5 linked regions of the Oryctolagus cuniculus genome follow. The protein of the gene in region 1 purifies or fractionates together with the protein of each later gene. This does not show direct contact. Links are inferred from orthologs where the notes say so. Each region holds a gene or a part of one and is shown in the gene's direction. Other genes may lie near its edges.

Region 1 (3,500 bases):
GCCCCTGCATTTCTCCTCCAGCCCAAGCCTGCCTGGTGCCCACTCTGGGGGTCTGGGATTGCAAGTGACCTTCTCTGTTCTTGGTCTCCCACAGCGTGAGCACAGCGTGGAAGATGGCAGTGATGGAAACAGCCTGCCCGGGCACCCCTGGCTCTGCAGTTGGGCAGCAGAAGGAGCTCGCCCAAGCCAAGGAGAAGACACAGTCTCTGGGGAAGAAGCAGAGCTCCCTCCTCCATCTCGAGGCCGTGGAGAAGAGCCCTGTGTTCTGCGGGAAGTGGGAGGTCCTAAATGACGTGATTACCAAGGGCACAGCCAAGGAAGGCTCCGGGGGCGGGCCAGCCGCCATCTCCATCATCGCCCAGGCTGAATGTAAGGGACTGGCTTGTGGGCACAGGGAGCAGGTGGCGGGCTAGACACAGAGGAGGCCAGGCTTGGGGTCCCTGATGGAAAGGAGTGGTTAAGGTAACCATTAGATAAGATTCTCACAAGACATGGCCATGGCCCAGATTCAGTGAGAAGTAGTGGGAGATGAAAGAGCGGATGTGGGGAACAGAGGCTGAACCCATGGTGAGAAGAGGTGGCAGCACTGAGAGGCAGGTGACTTGGGTCTCTTTGCGGGATCATCAAGAGGGCCAGTAGCCTAGAGGGGCCCTAGCCAGGAAAGACCAGGTCTCCCGGAAAGCCCCGCTGGGACTTGCAGGTCCTTTTCCACCTTCCACCTGGATATGGCCCCAACCCCCAGGATGAACACCCTGCTTTGGGGCATGCTGGTCCAGTCCAGGGCTGCAGCCACCCCAGGGTGAGACTGGGCCTGGCACTTTGTGCTTCTACTCGCAGTACCTCAAGGTGACAGGCAATGGTGGCGGCTCTAGGAGGGCCGGGGAAGGCCAGCAGTCCTCTCCCCTTTCCGACACTCGCTCCAAGCCCAGAGGTTTCTAGGGGTGGGACGTGGAGGGCCTGACAGCCAGTGATGAGGCTTCCTTCCTTCCTTTCCCACTTGCGGCTGTTTGCTTGTTGAAGAGAGCTGAGGGAATGAAAAGGAAAATGGAGCGAGCCACATAGTAGTGGTGGTATACAGATACACACATGTAGCTGAACCAGTGTGGAACATACACGCTCACGGTCCTTCTCTGTGTAGGATGGAGCCACTGCCCTGTGCCGTGTGCTTTGTGTAGATCATTTCACAGAAGCTGTACACTAGAAGTGAGGTGGGCACCCCACAGTCCCCAAATCCTCAACATCCCTTCTGCTCTTGACCATGAAGCTGGGCAGGAGGAAGGTCAGACGGTCAGTGAGAGGAGGCCAGGGCCAGGAGGTAGCCGGCAGAGACGTGCTGAGGGGGGAGAGGAGGACTCTAAGGTGCATCTGCTGCTGAGGTCGTGTTCCTTCTCTTCTCTCTGCAAACCCCCCCTCTCTCCACTTATTTCAAAGGTGAGAACAGCCAGGAGTTCAGCCCCACCTTTTCAGAACGCATTTTCATCGCAGGGTCAAAACAGTACAGGTAAGAAAGCCTGCTGGGCGGGGCCGGGGACCCGAAGCTGGTGTCCTCCCTGCCCTGCGCACCCAGGCTGCTGCCCGCTGGCCCTGGCTCCCTCCTCAGACACCTGTGGTTCAGCTCTTGGCATGTAAAGCCTTTCAGAGCCTTTTCAGGGCGTGTGGACGCCTGCCTCTGGGTCCCATCAGCCTGACACTTTGTTTTTGTTCTTTTCTGAGTCCTTGAGGCACCCCTGCTTTCCATCAACAGGGAGGGTTCCGGGAACAGGGGCCACTTCCTACTGGTGCGTGTCTGTGATCGCCTGTGCAGGGGTCCCCTCACCGTCCCCTGGGGAGAGAGCCCACTGGTGTCTCCCCCTGGAGACTCACCTGTAGGGGATGGTTTTGTGGAGGCAGGGGCTGGGCAGACCAGAGCGGCAGGACGCACTCCCAGCTCTCAGACCCCCAGAGACGCTGTTTGGCAACTGAGGGTTCAGCCTAGAAACACTTCCCTCCCCCGGCTGCAGGCCAGCTTCTGTACCCTTGGGATCTGGAAGCTGCTAGTGACGGTGGGAGGGCTGCCGCTGGGAGCCAGAAAGCCTCGGACTTTGGCCGAACTCCTCTGCTGACTTGGAGGCCTTGGCCCGGGGCAAGGGTTTCTGATGGGCCCACCCTTCTCAGCCTTCAGAGAGGAGCCTGTGGGAGCTCAGGCCTCCAGCCGTCCCCAGGCCTTGGGGGGAGCCTGCCTTTATTTTCAGGGCAGAAGGTGAGGCCCAAGGAGCGCGGCAGAGGCTGTGGTCTGCTCCATACCACATTCAAAAACTCTCATGGTGCAGTTCCTCTCAGAACTAGCAGTGGTGTGAACCCGTGAGAGCCATGGTGGGGAGAAGCCTCTGGGTGGTCAGAGAAGGAAGGACAAGCTCCATGGTCCCCGGACACCAGGCAGGCAGCTCCTGGCTTCCTGCAGTAACCAGGTATCTCCAGGGACCAGTGCAGGCAACCTGACTATGATGACAGCAACTAGCCTTCTCTCTGGAGGCATCAGAAACAAACCGCTGCCAGTCCGGGCTGAGGACGTCTGCTGTGAACATGGCGCTCTTCTGGAAGCCCTCCAGGGGACAGCAGAGAGAAGCCCATGTCTCTGCTGTCCCCCCTCAAGAGAGCAGGGTCCTAGGCCCCGTGTGTTGACAGCTGGCCTTGGGCTGGGCATGGAGGTTGGCTTGTTAGTGAACTGTTTCATTGGAACCTCGTGTCCTCCCTGCACAGCAGAAAGATTTCACATATGAGAAAACTGAGGTTCCTCTGGCTAAGACCTGTCCCGAATTTGCATGAGTGTGGTCACATGCCGTGTGATGTGACGTGGTCTCACAGGATTACTGTACGACCCCGTGACTTGGTAGCACTCCTGCTTTGTGTGAGCATACGCTCTGCCACTCCCCTGACGAACTCACACGTATCTCAGACACAGTGCTGTCAATAAGCAACCGTCATAACCCAGAGGCACTGGATCTCAGATCTGTGGACTCCACGGTTAACCTGACCCATCCCATCCTCCTGCCTCCTGTGCCCTCAGCGCCCACCTTGCCCTCTCTTGACAGCCAGTCTGAGGGCCTTGATCAGATCCCCAACAATGTGGCCCACGCAACCGAGGGCAGAACAGCCCGTGTGTGCTGGAAGGGAAAGCGTCGCAGCAAAGCCCGCAAGAAAAGGAAGAAGAAGAAGAGCTCAAAGTCCCCGGCACAGGCAGGAGTGGCCTTAGCCAAACCCTGCCCCCGAACCCCTGAGCAGGAGAGCTGCACAGTCCCCGTGCAGGTGAGACCCGCCACCCCCTGCCCAGAGCCCGGCTCCTGGGGCCTTCTGAACACCTGTCCTAACTCCTGTGTTTCCCCTGCAGGAGGATGAGTCTCCATTGGGCACCCCGTATATTAGAAGCAGCCCCCAGTTCACCAAACCTCTGAGGGAACCAGGCCTTGGCCAACTCTGTTTTAAGAAACTTGGTGAGGACCTACGGCCGGCACTGCCTCGAT
Region 2 (4,016 bases), on another chromosome or scaffold:
TCGTCTCTTCCAGCTTCTGGTGGCTCTGATTTTTCCTTGGCATGTGGCCACATCTCTTTATTATCTGCTTCTTTTTTTTTTTGACAGGCAGAGTGCACAGTGAGAGAGAGAGAGAGAGAGAGAAAGGTCTTCCTTTGCCGTTGGTTCACCCTCCAATGGCCGCTGCGGCCGGCGCACTGCGGCCGGTGCACCGCGCTGATCCGATGGCAGGAGCCAGGTACTTCTCCTGGTCTCCCATGGGGTGCAGGGCCCAAGGACTTGGGCCATCCTCCACTGCACTCCCTGGCCACTATCTGCTTCATTTTTTTTAAAAAAAGATTTATTTATTTGAAAGGCAGATAGAGAGGGTAGGATGGAGAGAGAGAGATGTTCTGTCTGCCGTTTCACTCCCCAGATGGCTGCAATGGCCAGGGCCAGGCCAGGCTGAAACCAGGAGCCAGGAACTTCATTTGGGTCTCGCACTTGGGTACAGGGACCCAAGCACTTGAGCCATCTTCCGCTGCTTTCCTGGGTGCATTAGCAGGGAGCTGGATTGGAAGTGGAGTAATCAGGCCTTGAACCAGTGCCTATATGGGATGGTGGCTTAACCCGTTACACCACAATGCTGGCCCCTTCTGACTGTTTTCACCTGGCTTTCTTCCTTGCATGTTTTCCTCTGTCTTTTGTCTTTTATAAAGACACTTGTTAATGGATTTAAGGCCCACCTGAATAACCCAGCAAGCTCTCATTTTGATCAAGGCCCTTAGTTTACATCTGCAAAGATACTTTTCCCAAATAAAGTTGCATTTATAGGTTTTGGGGCTACCATGCAGCCTACAGTACTTGGGAGGGAACATCCCCTCCGGCTTGAGGGTCTGTGTAAGGGTAGGGGTCCCAGCGCACACCGATGTCTCCTGCTACAATAATCCTTAGTTTTCTGCCTCTGGCAAAGTTCCTGCCTTAGGTGTGCATCCTGAAGATGGGTGCTGGTACAGAGTCCGTAACCAGTGCTAAGCCATGGCCTGTGCAAGTCTCACAGAGGTGGTTCAGCATCTTCCTTCGGAATGAGGGTGTTTGTGACCTCTTAGATCGAAACCCCATTTCGGCCAGAGGGATCAGCATTTTGCCTTCATGGCCCCAGAGCTCCTGCACAGAGTGTACTTATCCTGCTGGGGATGAGAATTCCCCTGGGTCTCATGGGATGCCTTTGCTGCCTTTCTCGAAGAGCGTGCCTTGGATGAGCAGGCAGCCCTGGAAGAACCAGCTGTGTGAGATGGTGCAGCCCAGCGGCGGCCCGGCCGGGGACCAGGACGTGCTGCCTGAAGAGTCTTCTCTGGGGAAGCCGGCCATGCTGCATCTGCCCGCAGAGCAGGGTGCTCCTGACGCTCTCCAGCGCTGTCTGGAGGAGAACCAAGAGCTCCGAGGTGAGGTGGACAGCAAGTAGGTGGGGCACAAAGTCAGGGGATCTGGTCCTGCTGAAGGCAAGGCTTCTCTCGTGCACCTCTGCGTCTGCTGGGTGTGGGGCGAGGGCACCCCGAGAGCCAGCTTGTGCTTCCAGCGTAGCTACCTTGCCTCCTGGTTCCAGGCGGGGTTCCCTGGGAGCAGACCGAGGTGCATGGCAGGGTCAGTACTGAGGCAGAGAAGGGAAGGAGATGGGAGAAAGCAGGGGTGGGCAGCAGAAGTGGGCTGCCTTGGCTGACCCCCAGGGACTCTGGGGCTGGACTGACACTTCCAGGCTGGACCAGCGTGGCCCAGCCTCAGAGGACCTCTTCCCTGGGAGGGGACTCAGACTTTCCTGGGGTGGGTTGCGGTCTTGTTTGAGAGGGGGGTGCTGTGGCCTGTCCTGGGAAGTGGGTGTGGCCCACCCTGAGAGGAGGTGGTGTTGACCAGCATGAGAGGCATGACCCCTGCTGCAGTGGGGTAGCTGATGCCTCAGTTGTGTCTTTAGTTGGCCATTCATGTCCTAGTTGGCCAGTGGCTCTTGCCACAGTTGTAGTCCCATTCCCCACCTCCTTAAGTGAGTGTTGGATGTGATGTAGGGTCTTTTGCTGATGAGTCACGTGCTCTGTGGCCTCAGGGAGTGGTGCTGGCAGATGCCATGCACGCAGGGAGCAGACCTGGGTCTGGAATGTGTGTCCTCTTCCTAGGAGACAGCTAGCCACCAAGAGACTGCTTGGTTTCCTTGAAGGTTGCATTGGAGAGGCCCCGCCTTTTTTTTTTTTTTTTAGATTTATTTATCTGAAAGGCAGAATTACAGAGAGGCAGAGGCATACAGAGAAAGAGAGGCCTTCCATCCGCTTGTTCACTCTGCAGATGGCCTCAACGGCCAGAGCTGTGCTGATCCCAAGCTGGGAGCCAGGAGCTTCTTCTGGGTCTCCTATGCGGGTGCAGGGGCCTGAGGACTTGGGCCATCTTCTGCTTTCCCAGGCCATAGCAGAGAGCTAGATCGGAAGTGGAGCAGTGGGTCTAGAACCAGCGCCCATATGGGATGGTGGCACTGCAGACGGCGGCTTTACCCACTATGCCACGGCGCTGGCCCCGAGGCCCTGTCTTGAGCACAGAGCAGCAGTGTCTTCTACCTCAGTTCTGTTGACCTCTGGGGCCAGCTAATTCTCTGTGGTGAGGGCTGTCCTAGCCATTGTGGCATGGTGAGCAGTATCCCTGGCTTCTACTCACAGGTGCCAATAGTGCCCCTCCAGTCCCCTGGGAGTCACAGTTGTCCTTGAGTGGGACCCACTGTGCTGGGGTCTTCAGAACAAGTCATGCACATAGAGCTGGCAGCCAGATCGGGGCCTCTGCTCATCCCTAGGGGCCCAGAGCATTTCAGAGCAGTTGTGCAGGGCTCATGCCATGGCCTGTGGTGGCTCGGCTCTTCTGCCTCCTAGACTGTGTGTTCAGCACAACAGCTTTGCTAAGTCTCTGGCAGCAAGTGGAGACTTGAGGCTATATTGCCTCCAACTGGGAAGCTGGATAAAGCTTGGGGGGCAGCATGTGAGACCCCCGGGGCCCTGAAGGTGATTGTCCCCCAAGGTGCTCATGATTGTGTCTATAGGTAGGCTGTGAAACCAAACAAGGGAGGGTACAGTGTTTGCTCAGAACGTTTATGAAGAAACTTCCCGGAAGAGCTTGCCTGTATTCACGTGACATGTCTCAGAGACAGAAAGCAGTTGAGTGGACGCCAGGAGTGCGGGCAGGGGGCCTACGGGAGAGAATGCTGCTGGGTTTGGGGTTTCTTTCTGGGGTGCTGGGAATGTTCTGGAATTAGGTAGTGCTGATGGTTGCATGATCTTACAGCTTCATTAGCTAAAAACCACTGGATGACTATACTTTAAAATAGTTAAAATGGTGAATTTGATGTTACATGAATTTTTACGTCACTAAAAAGAAATTTAAAAGACATTGCACACAAGTTGAGACTCGGGTTGAGTGGGCAGGCAGCAGTGATGGCCAAGGGTTTGGAACATTCAGTGATGTGAAACTACTGTCTACCTCTGTTGGATACGGTTCTGTGGTTGCCCTAGAACCTTGCACGTCACTGATCGCTTTTGTCAGATGCTTCTTCCTCTACCTGGGGTGGTCGCTGGGTATGTGGCTTTCCTCTCCTCTGGCCTCTGCCAGCCACCTGCCGCTGGCACTGATATATGCTCATGGCTTAGTCTGGCGAGAAGAAGACTGCTCTTATTTATTTATTTATTTATTTATTTATTTATTGACAGGCAGAGTGGATAGTGAGAGAGAGAGAGACAGAGAGAAAGGTCTTCCTTTTGCCGTTGGTTCACCCTCCAATGGCCGCCACGGCCGGTGCGCTGCGGCCGGCGCACCGCGCTGATCCGATGGCAGGAGCCAGGAGCCAGGTGCTTTTCCTGGTCTCCCCATGGGGTGCAGGGCCCAAGCACCTGGGCCATCCTCCACTGCACTCCCTGGCCACAGCAGAGGGCTGGCCTGGAAGAGGGGCAACTGGGACAGAATCCGGCGCCCCGACCGGGACTAGAACCCGGTGTGCCGGCGCCGCTAGGCGGAGGATTAGCCTAGTGAGC
Region 3 (4,098 bases), on another chromosome or scaffold:
ACCGTGTGTGCTTTGCAGAGAGCTGCAAACAAACCCCCTCCAGGGTGACCTGACCGACACCTTCCGAGGCTTTACACAGCTCCAGACATTGTGAGTATGGGGACAAGATGGAGGGAGAGAACCAAAGGGGGCAGTGCCATGAGCTCAGCAGCTTAGGCTGCGTATTATGACCACTGTGTTGTCTTCAGGGTACTGCCGCATGATGTCAGCTGTCCTGGGGGTATTAGTGCCTGGGACACCGTCACCTCTTACGCAGACAACCAAACCTGCCAAGGGCAAAAGAACCTTTGTAACAGCACTGGAGACCCAGGTACGCTGGCTCACCTCACCTTCCTTCCTTGGACAGTTCTCCACTTTAGAGCAGAAAGCCAAAAATGCCTGAATGCATTTTGTTCTGAGGTTCTAACGACCCTTGGAAAGAAAAGATCTTAAACGTTCTACTGTAATTATTAGGTGTGATGAGCTGTAATCTTTCCTGTCCCTTTGACCTGGAAATGACTGAGAGAACCTAACTTGAAAAGGTGTTTCAGAAATACACCTAATGAAATCCGGCGATGTTCTCTACTTCTGTCTCCCAGAAATGTGCCCTGAGAATGGCTCTTGCGCCCCCGATGGTCCAGGTTTCTTGCAGTGTGTGTGTGCTGATGGCTTCCATGGATACAAGTGTATGCGCCAGGTGAGGAGTTGGGCCTTGCGATTGGGATGAGGCATACATGGTAAGAACCTCCCTGGAAGCAGAGCCAGAGGTGAGGGGCTTATGCAGACTCCCCGGGGGAGGAGCGCGGTAGAGGTGCCCGGGAAGACGGGGAGGGTATACAGGAGAGAAGCTGGGTTGGGGTGTGGAGTGAGTGTGGTTTTGATCTGTTGTTCCAGGGCTCGTTCTCACTGCTTATGTTCTTCGGGATTCTGGGATCCACCACCCTGTCCATCTCTGTCCTGCTTTGGGGGACCCAGCGCCGAAAAGCCAAGACGTCCTGACCACAGGGGTGTTCTGCTGCTCTAGGACCACCAGCCAGGGAGATCTGCGGGCCAGACGCGCGCGGTGGGCCCGTGGCGGCTCCTCCAGGCTGAAGCTGCTGTCGGAAGGCAGGCGGGGAACTGCGCCGCCAGGAGTGTCAGGCGCGGGCCCGTGCGCGATTCCACTTGTGCTGCTGACTATTAGAATAAACACTTCTCTCTCTTTAGGAAGGGCTTCCTGCCTTTGTGTTTCTTGATGGGGGTGGGAGGTACTTCTCGGGGGCGGCCTCCTCCGGCCCCGCCCCTTCCGCGCCCGGCCCCGCCCCGCGCCGCCGGCTGCCCGCGCCGCCGCAGTGCCGGCAGCCGCCGAGCGCGCCAGGGGCTCAGCGCCTGCAGCGCCCGCCTTCTCTCCGGCGCCCGGCGCGGGCAGCCACGTGGACCGATCCGGCGCGCCGCTTCGCGTGCTTCCAGGGGGCTCCCCGCGTCTCCGCGCTCCCCCACGCCGCAGCTCCGTCCCCATGGCGGCCCTGGTGTTGGAAGATGGCTCGGTCCTGCGGGGCCAGCCCTTCGGGGCCGCCGTGTCGACGGCCGGCGAAGTAGGTAAGCAAGCCCGGGCGGGCGCCCACCTCATCGCCCCGCGCTGATGCTGCCCCTCTCCGCCCAGCCCGCCTGCCCGGACCCCGCCATCTTCCGGCCCTGTTCGGGGGCCATGGCCGGAGCCCCGCTGGGCAGCCCGCGCAGGGCGCGCGGGGCAGGGTTGCGAAGGGTGCCCTTGCGCGAGCCCAGCCCCGCCTCTGTCCTGCAGTGTTTCAGACCGGCATGGTCGGCTACCCCGAGGCCCTCACCGACCCCTCGTACGAAGCACAGATCCTGGTGCTGACGTACCCGCTCATCGGCAACTACGGCATCCCCAGGGACGAGCTGGATGAGTTCGGCCTCAGCAAGGTAGCCACGCCCCGTGCTCGCTCTCTCTGCGTGCCTGCTGGCTGGGCGCTGTGACCTCTCAGTCTAGTGACAGCGCTGGCACTCGGCCGGGCATCCCGGGGAGAAGGAGGGTACCCGCTGCAGAGCGCCGTCCTTGGGTTGGGGGTCGCAAAGTTCCCTGGGTGGCAAGGAGCGCCGTGCTGGGGGAGGAGCAGAGAGCTGCCCCCTGTGTTGGGGTCTTCAGGGCACCAGACATAGCTGAGATGAGTGGGTATTTAGCAAAGGCATGGCAAGAGGGGAGAGGCGAGGGTGTTACCCAGGTTGCCAAGAATGCAGAAGTAAGGAAAAAAATCCTGCAGAAAGGTTGGGTAACAGTGGACGCAGAGAGCCTTGGAGTCCAACCAGTGGAAGTGTTTTAGCAGTGGAGTCCTGTGTTGGGAGCATTGCATTAGGTTGACCTAAACTAGGGGCAAAGACACCGAGACCCCACCAGTGACAGTGGGTACAGCTTACCTGCAGCACCGGTGACACCTGGGCCCCCATACCTCGTCCTGTCTGGCTTTCTACATGTCAGTGGTATTCTTACCCCTCATAAGAAAACTCAGTTTCTTTTTACCGTGAGGTTTCCCCTCTTCCTTCCCTGCTATTTGGAAACTAAGTTACCCTGTGCGAGTTCAAGCCTTAAGGTGGTAGTGGAAGGCTGTGGGTGAAGCCACTGTTCATGATGCCGGCATCCCATATCAGAGTGCAGGTTCAAGGCCTGGCTGCTCCACTTCCTACCCAGCTCCCTGCTAATGTGTCTGGCAAGGCAGCAGATGATGGCCCCTGCCACCTACATGGGAGACCAGGATGGAGTTACTGGCTCTTGGCTCTGGCCTGACCCAGCCCTGCCTGAGGAAGGCTAGTATTCCTCAAAACTTGTTTTGTTTGAATTCCTGGTTTGTTGAGCCCTGAATTCTTTTTTTTTTCTTAAGATTTATTTATTTATTTGAAAGAGTTACACAGGGAGAGAAGGAGAGGCAGAGAGAGAGAGAGAGAGGTTTTCCATCCGCTGGTTCACTCCCCAATTGTCTGCAATAGCCAGAGCTGCGTCAATCTGAAGCCAGGAGCCAGAGCTTTTTCCGGGTCTCCCACGTGGGTACAGGGGCCCAAGGACTTGAGCCATCTGCTGCTTTCCCAGGCCAGAGCAGAGAGCTGGATCGGAAGTGGTGCAGCTGGGTCTTGAACCCTGAATTCTTAATTTGCCTTCCCAGTCACCTTGATGCTGGAGAGTTAGCTCTGGGAAAGGAACCACTGTCTTCATCATAAACCTTTATTTTTTTTGATAGATTTATTTATTTATTTATTTTGGAAAAGTCACAGAGGGAGAGACAGAGTTCTTCCACCTTCTGGTTCACTCCCCAGATGGTTGCGTCGGCCAGGGCTGGGCCAGGCCAAAGCCAGGAACCAGGAACTCCATCCAGGTCTCCCACGTGGGTGGCAGGGGCCCAAGCACTTGAGCCATCCTCTGCTGCCTTTCCCGGGCTGTCAGCTGAGAGCTGGATCGGAAGTGGAGTAGCTGGGACACACACCGGCATCCAGTGGCTTCAGACGCCAGCCCCCATCAAAAGTCTTTGAATGCATGACACTCTAGTTTGTAATGCAGTGTCCCTTGAATTTGGTTGGCGCATCAGTTGTCAACTTCATCAGCTCCAGGCACACGGCCAAAATGGAGTTTATAAAATAGACTGCTGAGACAAGGTGAGCACGTCCTCCCTACAGCCAGCACGATGCTTCTGAGGTGGGAGAGAGAGACGCGCTGTCAGTGCACCTGCACATGTGCGGTTTGCTCCAGCCGGCTGGGGAGGGTCCTGCCCTGCTGTTCTTCAGGTCCCTGAAGAGCAGGCTCAGCGTCCATCTGCCCTTACGCCTTTCTCCATGGAGCTGGATGCAGTTTAAATGTGTTGCTCCCTCCCACAGAAACTTCCTGTTTAATTATTAATTACTACCTCTTGATGAACAGATTTACATGATTTTTCTTTTTTTTTGAGAGGTAGAGTTCCTATCCACTGGTTCACCAAATGTCCACAACACGAGGTGACAGAGCAGGAAGCCAGGAGTCAGGAACTTGATCCAGATCTGTCCCGTGGGTGCAGGGACTCGGCTACTTGAGCCTTCGGCACTGCCTTCCTGGGTCTGCCTTAGCAGAAAGCTGGAACCAGGAGCCAGGGCAGGAAC
Region 4 (2,787 bases), on another chromosome or scaffold:
GAGAGCGGTGACGGAGACGAGGACGGGGACGAGCAGGCTGAGCTGGGCGAGGAGGACCTGTTCCACCAGCAGGTAGCGGGCGGGGCGTCCCGCGTGGTCCTGGCTGCGGGCGGGGCGGGGCGGGGGTGTCCCGCGTGGTCCGGGGCTGTAGGCGGGGTGGGGGGCGTCCCGCGTGGTCCTGGGCTGCGGGCAGGGTGGGGGCGGGGTGGGGGCGTCCCCGCGTGGTCCCGGGCTGCGGGCGGGGCTGCGGGCGGGGCCTTCCCCGGAGGGAGCGCCCCGAAGGCCGGGCCTGGGGCCTGACGCGCGCCCTCCCCGCAGGGAGACCCCCGCACCACGTCGAGAGGCTGCCGCGTGATGTGAGCGCCGCCCCGCCCGCGGCCCCCGAGGACTGTAGTTTTCTATCATTGGCTTTCCCCACACCGATACCATTTCCCGAGAATTCTTACAACTGCGGGCGCGGGCGGGGCGGGGCGGGGCGGGGCGGTCCCGGGAGGCGCCAGCAGGGCCCCGCCTCGGCCGGGACCCCCGCCCGCACCCCTGCCCGCGAGCGCGGCGGGCGCCCAGGGACGCTGGCGCTGCGGGGGTCGCGGCCGGGAGCTCCCGCACGGCCCCGTCGGTGCGTGGCTCCTGTCCGTCAGCCGCGGCCCGGCCGCAGGAGCCTCCCACGCACAGACGCTATTTTTTTAATGGATATTTATTTTTTTACATGGGTCAGCCCCACCCCTCGGGCCGACCGCCCAGACCCCCGCCCGGGCCCCGCCCCCGCGCTGCCCCACGCGCCCCCGGGGCACGCACGCCTCGCGCGCAGGGAAGTTGTCTTCACCCCACGCCTTCCCGCGGCGGGGCGGGAACCCCGTGGCCCTGTGCGCGTGGGCTCGGGGGGTCGCGGCCCTGGGGGGGGTCCCGGTCACGCGCCCGGATGCATGCGGCCCCTCCCGTGGTTTGTAACGCATTTTACGACTGGAACCTTTTGTACAACAACACTCCAATAAACGTTTTGATTCTAACCGCGGCCGCTCGCTCCTTCTGTCGCCGGCCCTGGCCACCTCCCCTCGCCCTGGGCGTCCAGGCCGCTGTCGCCTGGGCCGGGCTTTGCCGCGTCACGTGACCTGGCTCCGCCCCAGGCGCGCGCGGGAGTGCGCAGGCGCGACGGGATTCGGCGGAAGCGTGGCGCCTCGCGCATGCGCGGGCATTGTGGGAGTTGTAGTCCGCCGGCCGGCTCCGCTTCCCGTGGTGCCCCGCGCGGCGCGACTTCCGGCGCGGAGACGGGTCGGTGCGCGCGGCCACAGTCCGGCTGACTGCGGAGCCATGGAGGGCAGCTTCGGCTCGGACTTCGGGGGCTCGGGCGGCGGGAAGCTGGACCCGGGCCTCATCATGGAGCAGGTGAAGGTGCAGATCGCCGTGGCCAACGCGCAGGAGCTGCTGCAGGTGCGGGCCGGGGGCGGCGCGGCGGAGGCGGAGGCGGAGGCGCCCGGGCTCGGGCGGCGCGGCTGAGGCCTGCGCGTGTCTCCGCAGAGAATGACGGACAAGTGCTTCCGGAAGTGCATCGGGAAGCCGGGGGGCTCCTTGGACAACTCGGAGCAGGTGAGTCCCGCGGGGGCGCGGGGAGGCTGTGTGCAGGGGCGCGGGGTCCCGGCGCCGGAGGGGAGCTGTGTGCGGGGCGGCGGGGGCGCGGGGTGTCCGTGTGCAGGGGCGCGGGGCGGCGGCGGGGGCGCGGGGTGTCCGTGTGCGGGGGCGCGGGGTCCCGACGCCGGCGGGGAGGTGTGTGCGGGGCGGCGGGGGCGCGGGGTGTCCGTGTGCAGGGGCGCGGGGCGGCGGGGGCGCGGGACGCCGGCGGGGAGGGGGCGCGGGGTCCCGGCGCCGGAGGGGAGGTGTGTGCGGGGCGGCGGGGGCGCGGGGCGGCGGAGGGGGCGCGGGGTGTCCGTGTGCAGGGACGCGGGACGCCGGCGGGGAGGGGGCGCGGAGTCCCGGCGCCGGCGGGGAGGCCTGTGCGGGGGCGCGGGGTCCCGGCGCCGGCGGGGAGGGCCGGGGCGCGCGCGTGTCCCCGGCTGAGCCGCGTGTCCCCGCCGCAGAAGTGCATCGCCATGTGCATGGACCGCTACATGGACGCCTGGAACACCGTGTCGCGCGCCTACACCTCGCGGCTGCAGCGGGAGCGCGCCAACCTGTGACCGAGCCGGACGCCGCAGGCCGGGCGTCGGGGCCGGGTCTGGACCTTGGTGGGGAGGGGGCGCTCGGGCCCCGCTCCGCTGTGACCCCGCGAGGGCGAATAAACGGCTGAGCCAGCGCGGGGACCCGCATTTCTCTCTGGGCGCGGGCGGGGGAGTGCGGTGCCCGCTGCGAGGCTGCCCCCCCGCCCCCCCCCCGGCCCCGCGCGGGACAAGGAGGCGCTGAGCCGTCGGGCTGCGGGCGGGAGCTGTTTATTGGCACAGGCAGGGTCACTCCTGGATGTTTTGCGCGATCCAGGCTCTCACCGCCGCCACCCGGGTGTAGACGCCGGGGAAGTGGGGCCGGCCGCAGCCGTACCCCCAGCTGGTGACCCCCGTTAGCACCCAGCGGCCGGAGGGCTCCCTGCAGGCCAGAGGACCCCCGGCGTCGCCCTGAGGGAGAGGAGGAGGAGGAGGGGGCTCAGCGGAGGCCGCGGGGAGGGCCCGGGACCCCCGGCCGCCCGCTCACCGAGCAGCTGTCGACGCCGCCCTGCGGGAAGCCGGCGCACAGCATACGGCTGCTGATCTGCACCGGGTAGAAGCGGCGGCAGGTCTGCTCGCTGAGCACGCGCACGGCCGC
Region 5 (4,177 bases), on another chromosome or scaffold:
ATCTAAGGCTTTTGAAATGCAAAATTTCCCCCTCTACAGAAGTACATTCATTACCTTTTTTGGTCAGGACAAGAACTGAAAAGGAGAAATAATCTTGAATTCAGAATGAACAATTCTTGCTATATACTTTTCCCACATATTTTGGGAATGTTTTGTAACTTTCCGAGAAACATAACTTGAACTAAATACTAAACTACTACCAAGACCCATGTGCATTTTTGGAAGTTTTTAGTCATTGGGAGCCGTGGCATTTCTCCTCTATCACACTTTCTTTTTACTACCAACCATGGAACAGAGGACCTCCTGCTCTGTGACTGACTGGCAGGCAGAAATGACAGGACAGGAAATGGGAAATGGTTCAGTGTGTTGGAATTCCCCTGGCTGCCTAATTAAGTGGCTTATTTGGAAGTTTTTGAAATGTTTGCCCCTGGAGTTCCCCGGAAAGAAGCAAGCATCTGAGTTCATTGACAAAGCCTATTTTCACAGACACCGCGATACAACATGTACCCCACGGCCCAGGAGCGCAGCCGCATTCCACGCCGCAGAGGACGAGAGCCAAATGGCCCAGGCTAATGCAACCAAGGTTTATTTACGCGTGTTCCATCACGTCCCCATACGGAAAAAAATCCTTTGTCTTCGTAAGTGAACTCCTTGGCGCTTCCTGTATATGTGTGCACGTACATAACGTATACGTTCCATTTTATTCAAACCCAGCAAATCCTCGGACTGAAGCCTGACTCTCGTGGCTAACAATGCACATTTGAAATAAAACACAGCTCTTCCCCTGGAGCCTGTCTCCAGAGCAGGAAACCGAAAGTTTAAAAAAAGAAACGCTGGTTGATAAAAAAAAAAAAAAAAAAAAAAAAAAAAAAAGCTTCAAGTTTTCAAAAGCAATCTCCTGACGCCGTCCTCGCTGCATGTCTCGGCTGTGCACCCTGGCTTGCTCCCGGGCTGCGCTGCGGGACACGCACGAGGGGCAGCACGGCGAGAGTCCCGCGGGGGCCCGGACCCAACGAGGGGGCGGCCCGCGACGTGCAGTCCCTGCGCCAGGGCGTTTCCGCAGGGTTTCCCGAGCCTCCAACGCAACCGCTCACGCTCTGCCACGTCCCCCTCAGGAGAACGTCCGCGGCAGAGAAGAGGCAGATGTCACAGGGGCGCCAACCACGCGGCTAAAACGTGCAAACGCCAAGTTCAGGCGAACGAGCCGCAGCACCCCGCGGAACGACCGCGCCGCTCCAGGTGGGCGGACCCGCCGGGCCGCGCCGGGCCTCCCCGGGCCTCCGGGCCTCCTTCCCGGAGGTGACCCAGCGCTCCGTTCCGCTCTCCGACCGCAGACTCCCGGGCGCCCTCGCGCGGCGGGGGACGTGGGCGACCCGCAGGACGCGCTGACGTCACCGTGCGTCCGCGTCGGCCCCGCCGGGGTAGGGGGCTTGGGGAGCGCCGCAGGCCGGCAGAGCCGGGTTTGGCCGCTTGAGGTCTCGGCCCCACTGCCTTCCTGTTGTGCGGAGGCCTCCAGGCCCCCGAGCTGGGTCCCTGTTTGCTGTGCTGGCGATGCGGTGAGTGCGGCTCCTTCCGGGGCCGGCCGCGCGGGGCGGGTCGGGGCGCGGGCCTGCGGGGGCCCACTTCCCTGGTGTTGCGGCCGGGCGAGGGAGGACGGGGCCTGGGGCGCCGTGGGCTGTGTGGTTTCTACCCGCGCCGAGGCTTGTATTTAATTCGGAAGCCCCAACTTCAAAAGACTTTCAGTCGAGACTGGCTGCTTTTTTTTTAAATGATTCGTTTTCAAGTCTGGCCGCCGCCTGCTTTACTGCCCTTTGGACTTTGATCAAGATAGTTGCTCTAGGGAGTTTTTGCGCACTTGTAAACTTAGGCTTCCGTGGTCCGTGGGAACGCGAGAGCTCACATTTTGCAAGGCTCTGCGGTCCGCTGCTGCGGTGGTTGTCTGTTGTGTGTTGTTTGAAATAACTCCTAGAAATTAATGGCTAAAGCCGCACGGTTTCTCCTCTTTTCCCTTCCAGTTTATCCCCTGCCCACCTACAGCTTGCTTAAAGAGATCAAAAGTAGCAATATGCTGCTTGTAGATAAAGAGCTAAAATTTAAAGATACGAGACATGGTGTAATTAAAGTGTGCATTCATGCAAGCGGTCACAGTGCCAGGCCCAGGGTTGCAGGGACTATTATGTTACTGTTTGTTTTCGAGTTGGCTGTCTGTAGTGGTGGCGGCTTTGGAATTGCGAGGCAGCTGGTATGGTTTAAGGATTTGTATTAATGAGCTCCTCCTGATGTCTTTAACGCCCCACCAGACCAGCTGGTTTTTCTAGCCCTGGAAAGACCTAACATTTAAAAATCGCTTTACGGATCTGTCTCTGCTAGCCCCGTTGCAGACAGGGAGTAATGGAGTCTCCAGTTCTGTCCCTTTGTGCCTCCACCAAAGTGCCCGAGATAATTATCCTGAAGTGAGAAAAGGGGAGGAGACTGAAGACAGTGTTTCCACGTGTGGAATTGTCTTTGACGCTGTACATTGTAAAGACATGGATATAGTTCATGCTGTGGAGCTGTTTTGCATTTATTTAAATTAAGAGCATGTCCAATTAGAAAGTTTTGGTGACAGATTGCTGGAATTAACATATTGTCTAAAGTGTCAGTCAGACTCCACTGAATAAATTGCATAATCTGTAAGCTTCATGTGGCATGCAAATAGTTTTCTAAAATACCTTTTCTTTCTTTTCAGATTTATGGCTCTGAAGAGTCTCTTTGTCCCCCATTTTTTCTCCCCTTGAAGATAATAAATCCCACTATGGAGACCCTGAAACTTTATAAAGGAATATAGTTTGAATTCTATGGAGTGTAATTTTATGTATGAATTAAATTTTAAAAGTGTTGAGTTTTCAGAACGAAGGCTGGGAGTTCAGCACTGGTCTATTATGTGGAATCAGTAATTCTGTTGTGATAACACTAGAAAGGACAAGCTGTGTATTTTGATAAATTGGTTCATCCTCAATTACAACATGACTGATATTACAGCTGAATTGTCCTTAAAAAAAGAGCAGGTTAACTTTTAAATGCAGTGTAAAGAGTGTGTACTGTGGAACTTTCTATGGTTAACTAGTTAAGTTTATGAAGAAAGTACTGGCAGTTGATCAGTCATAATCAAGTGGCGTGCAAAGTTAGAAAGACAACATGCTACAGGAAATGGAAACAAGTACAGGTAATATTTAACAAAAATAGAGGAGTTAATAGCTTGTGAACTTTAAGCAAAAAATCATTTGATAATCATACACACTGTACTAGGTATAGATTGAACAAACCTGGTGGATGCTAACTTAACCCTAGAATTGTTAACTGAAGCTAATAAACCTATTTAAGTAAATACTATGACGATAAGCTATGTGAAATTAGCCTTTAGATAATGTGACTTTTATAAATGAAGCTTTTAATTACTTTTGTTTACTAGAAGAAAGTGAAAAAAAATTTGGATGTCATAGTAAGGTGCTTACAGGGAAACAATCCTGCATATAGATTTTTTTCTCTTGTGAAATAATCAGTGATTGGCCTGATGTCCAAGCTTCATAGCTTATAACCAAAAGCGAATTGGAGTCATAATTGAGATAATCTGTAGTTGCTTAGTATTTGGAAAATATAAACCTCTTAGAAAAATCAAGTTTTAACATTTCCCAAGTGCGTGAACTTTTTCAGGCCGTTACATTATTGTTATACCAATGAGTAAATAGCTCTTTAGTTACTTAAAAGTGAATACAATCTTGAAGAATACTAAGAGTATCTTGGTAATTTAGGAGATTTATTTATCCCACCTTACCATAAGCTCACCAGTCAGGTGTGGTGAATTCTGCGTAAGTCAACCAGTCATTTGATTCCTTTCTGTGGTGAAGTCTCTGAAGAGATGAGAGGTTTCATGTGAAGGTTTTAGCCATCAAGAAATACTGTCACCTACTCATGCACAAAACTACCTCCCCAAGAGTAGTCCCAAGGACCCTGTATTGAAGAACTCAGAATATGATGGAAGACAGCACCATCTTGTCAACTTGGACAAATGACAACAAACAAAAAATGAAGTATGACTTCTCTTGCGAACTCTACAGAATGTCTACCTACTCAGCTTTCCCCAACGGTGTTCCTGTCTCAGAACGGAGTCTTGCTCGTGCTGGTTTCTATTACACTG

The links.
Region 2: the proteins of MAP3K14 (region 1) and IKBKG purify together in Homo sapiens (affinity purification with mass spectrometry; 6 studies listed by BioGRID and IntAct, counting the BioPlex papers as one, with this or other methods). This does not show direct contact. The link is inferred for Oryctolagus cuniculus from reciprocal best matches to the Homo sapiens genes MAP3K14 and IKBKG.
Region 3: the proteins of MAP3K14 (region 1) and CAD purify together in Homo sapiens (affinity purification with mass spectrometry; 3 studies listed by BioGRID and IntAct, with this or other methods). This does not show direct contact. The link is inferred for Oryctolagus cuniculus from reciprocal best matches to the Homo sapiens genes MAP3K14 and CAD.
Region 4: the proteins of MAP3K14 (region 1) and TIMM13 purify together in Homo sapiens (affinity purification with mass spectrometry; 3 studies listed by BioGRID and IntAct, with this or other methods). This does not show direct contact. The link is inferred for Oryctolagus cuniculus from reciprocal best matches to the Homo sapiens genes MAP3K14 and TIMM13.
Region 5: the proteins of MAP3K14 (region 1) and BIRC2 purify together in Homo sapiens (affinity purification with western blotting; 3 studies listed by BioGRID and IntAct, with this or other methods). This does not show direct contact. The link is inferred for Oryctolagus cuniculus from reciprocal best matches to the Homo sapiens genes MAP3K14 and BIRC2.

Annotation. Positions count from the first base shown.
Region 1 is NC_091448.1:18,482,470-18,485,969, reverse strand, and holds part of MAP3K14 (mitogen-activated protein kinase kinase kinase 14), read left to right. Parts: intron 1-94; 5' UTR 95-113; coding exon 114-369; intron 370-1,431; coding exon 1,432-1,501; intron 1,502-3,071; coding exon 3,072-3,285; intron 3,286-3,367; coding exon 3,368-3,500.
Region 2 is NC_091453.1:132,763,940-132,767,955, forward strand, and holds the start of IKBKG (NF-kappa-B essential modulator), read left to right. Parts: upstream 1-1,216; coding exon 1,217-1,403; intron 1,404-4,016. UniProt on the Homo sapiens protein: Regulatory subunit of the IKK core complex which phosphorylates inhibitors of NF-kappa-B thus leading to the dissociation of the inhibitor/NF-kappa-B complex and ultimately the degradation of the inhibitor.
Region 3 is NC_091433.1:175,753,321-175,757,418, reverse strand, and holds the start of CAD (multifunctional protein CAD), read left to right. Parts: upstream 1-1,298; 5' UTR 1,299-1,475; coding exon 1,476-1,557; intron 1,558-1,762; coding exon 1,763-1,902; intron 1,903-4,098. Other genes in the region: ATRAID (all-trans retinoic acid-induced differentiation factor), read left to right, coding at 19-90, 189-310, 579-676, 874-978. UniProt on the Homo sapiens protein: Multifunctional protein that encodes the first 3 enzymatic activities of the de novo pyrimidine pathway: carbamoylphosphate synthetase (CPSase; EC 6.3.5.5), aspartate transcarbamylase (ATCase; EC 2.1.3.2) and dihydroorotase (DHOase; EC 3.5.2.3).
Region 4 is NW_027208270.1:74,429-77,215, forward strand, and holds TIMM13 (mitochondrial import inner membrane translocase subunit Tim13), read left to right. Parts: upstream 1-1,166; 5' UTR 1,167-1,308; coding exon 1,309-1,428; intron 1,429-1,515; coding exon 1,516-1,584; intron 1,585-2,072; coding exon 2,073-2,171; 3' UTR 2,172-2,287; downstream 2,288-2,787. Other genes in the region: LMNB2 (lamin-B2), read left to right, coding at 1-72, 319-360. UniProt on the Homo sapiens protein: Mitochondrial intermembrane chaperone that participates in the import and insertion of some multi-pass transmembrane proteins into the mitochondrial inner membrane.
Region 5 is NC_091432.1:94,067,270-94,071,446, forward strand, and holds the start of BIRC2 (baculoviral IAP repeat-containing protein 2), read left to right. Parts: upstream 1-1,377; 5' UTR 1,378-1,556; intron 1,557-2,728; 5' UTR 2,729-4,011; coding exon 4,012-4,177. UniProt on the Homo sapiens protein: Multi-functional protein which regulates not only caspases and apoptosis, but also modulates inflammatory signaling and immunity, mitogenic kinase signaling, and cell proliferation, as well as cell invasion and metastasis.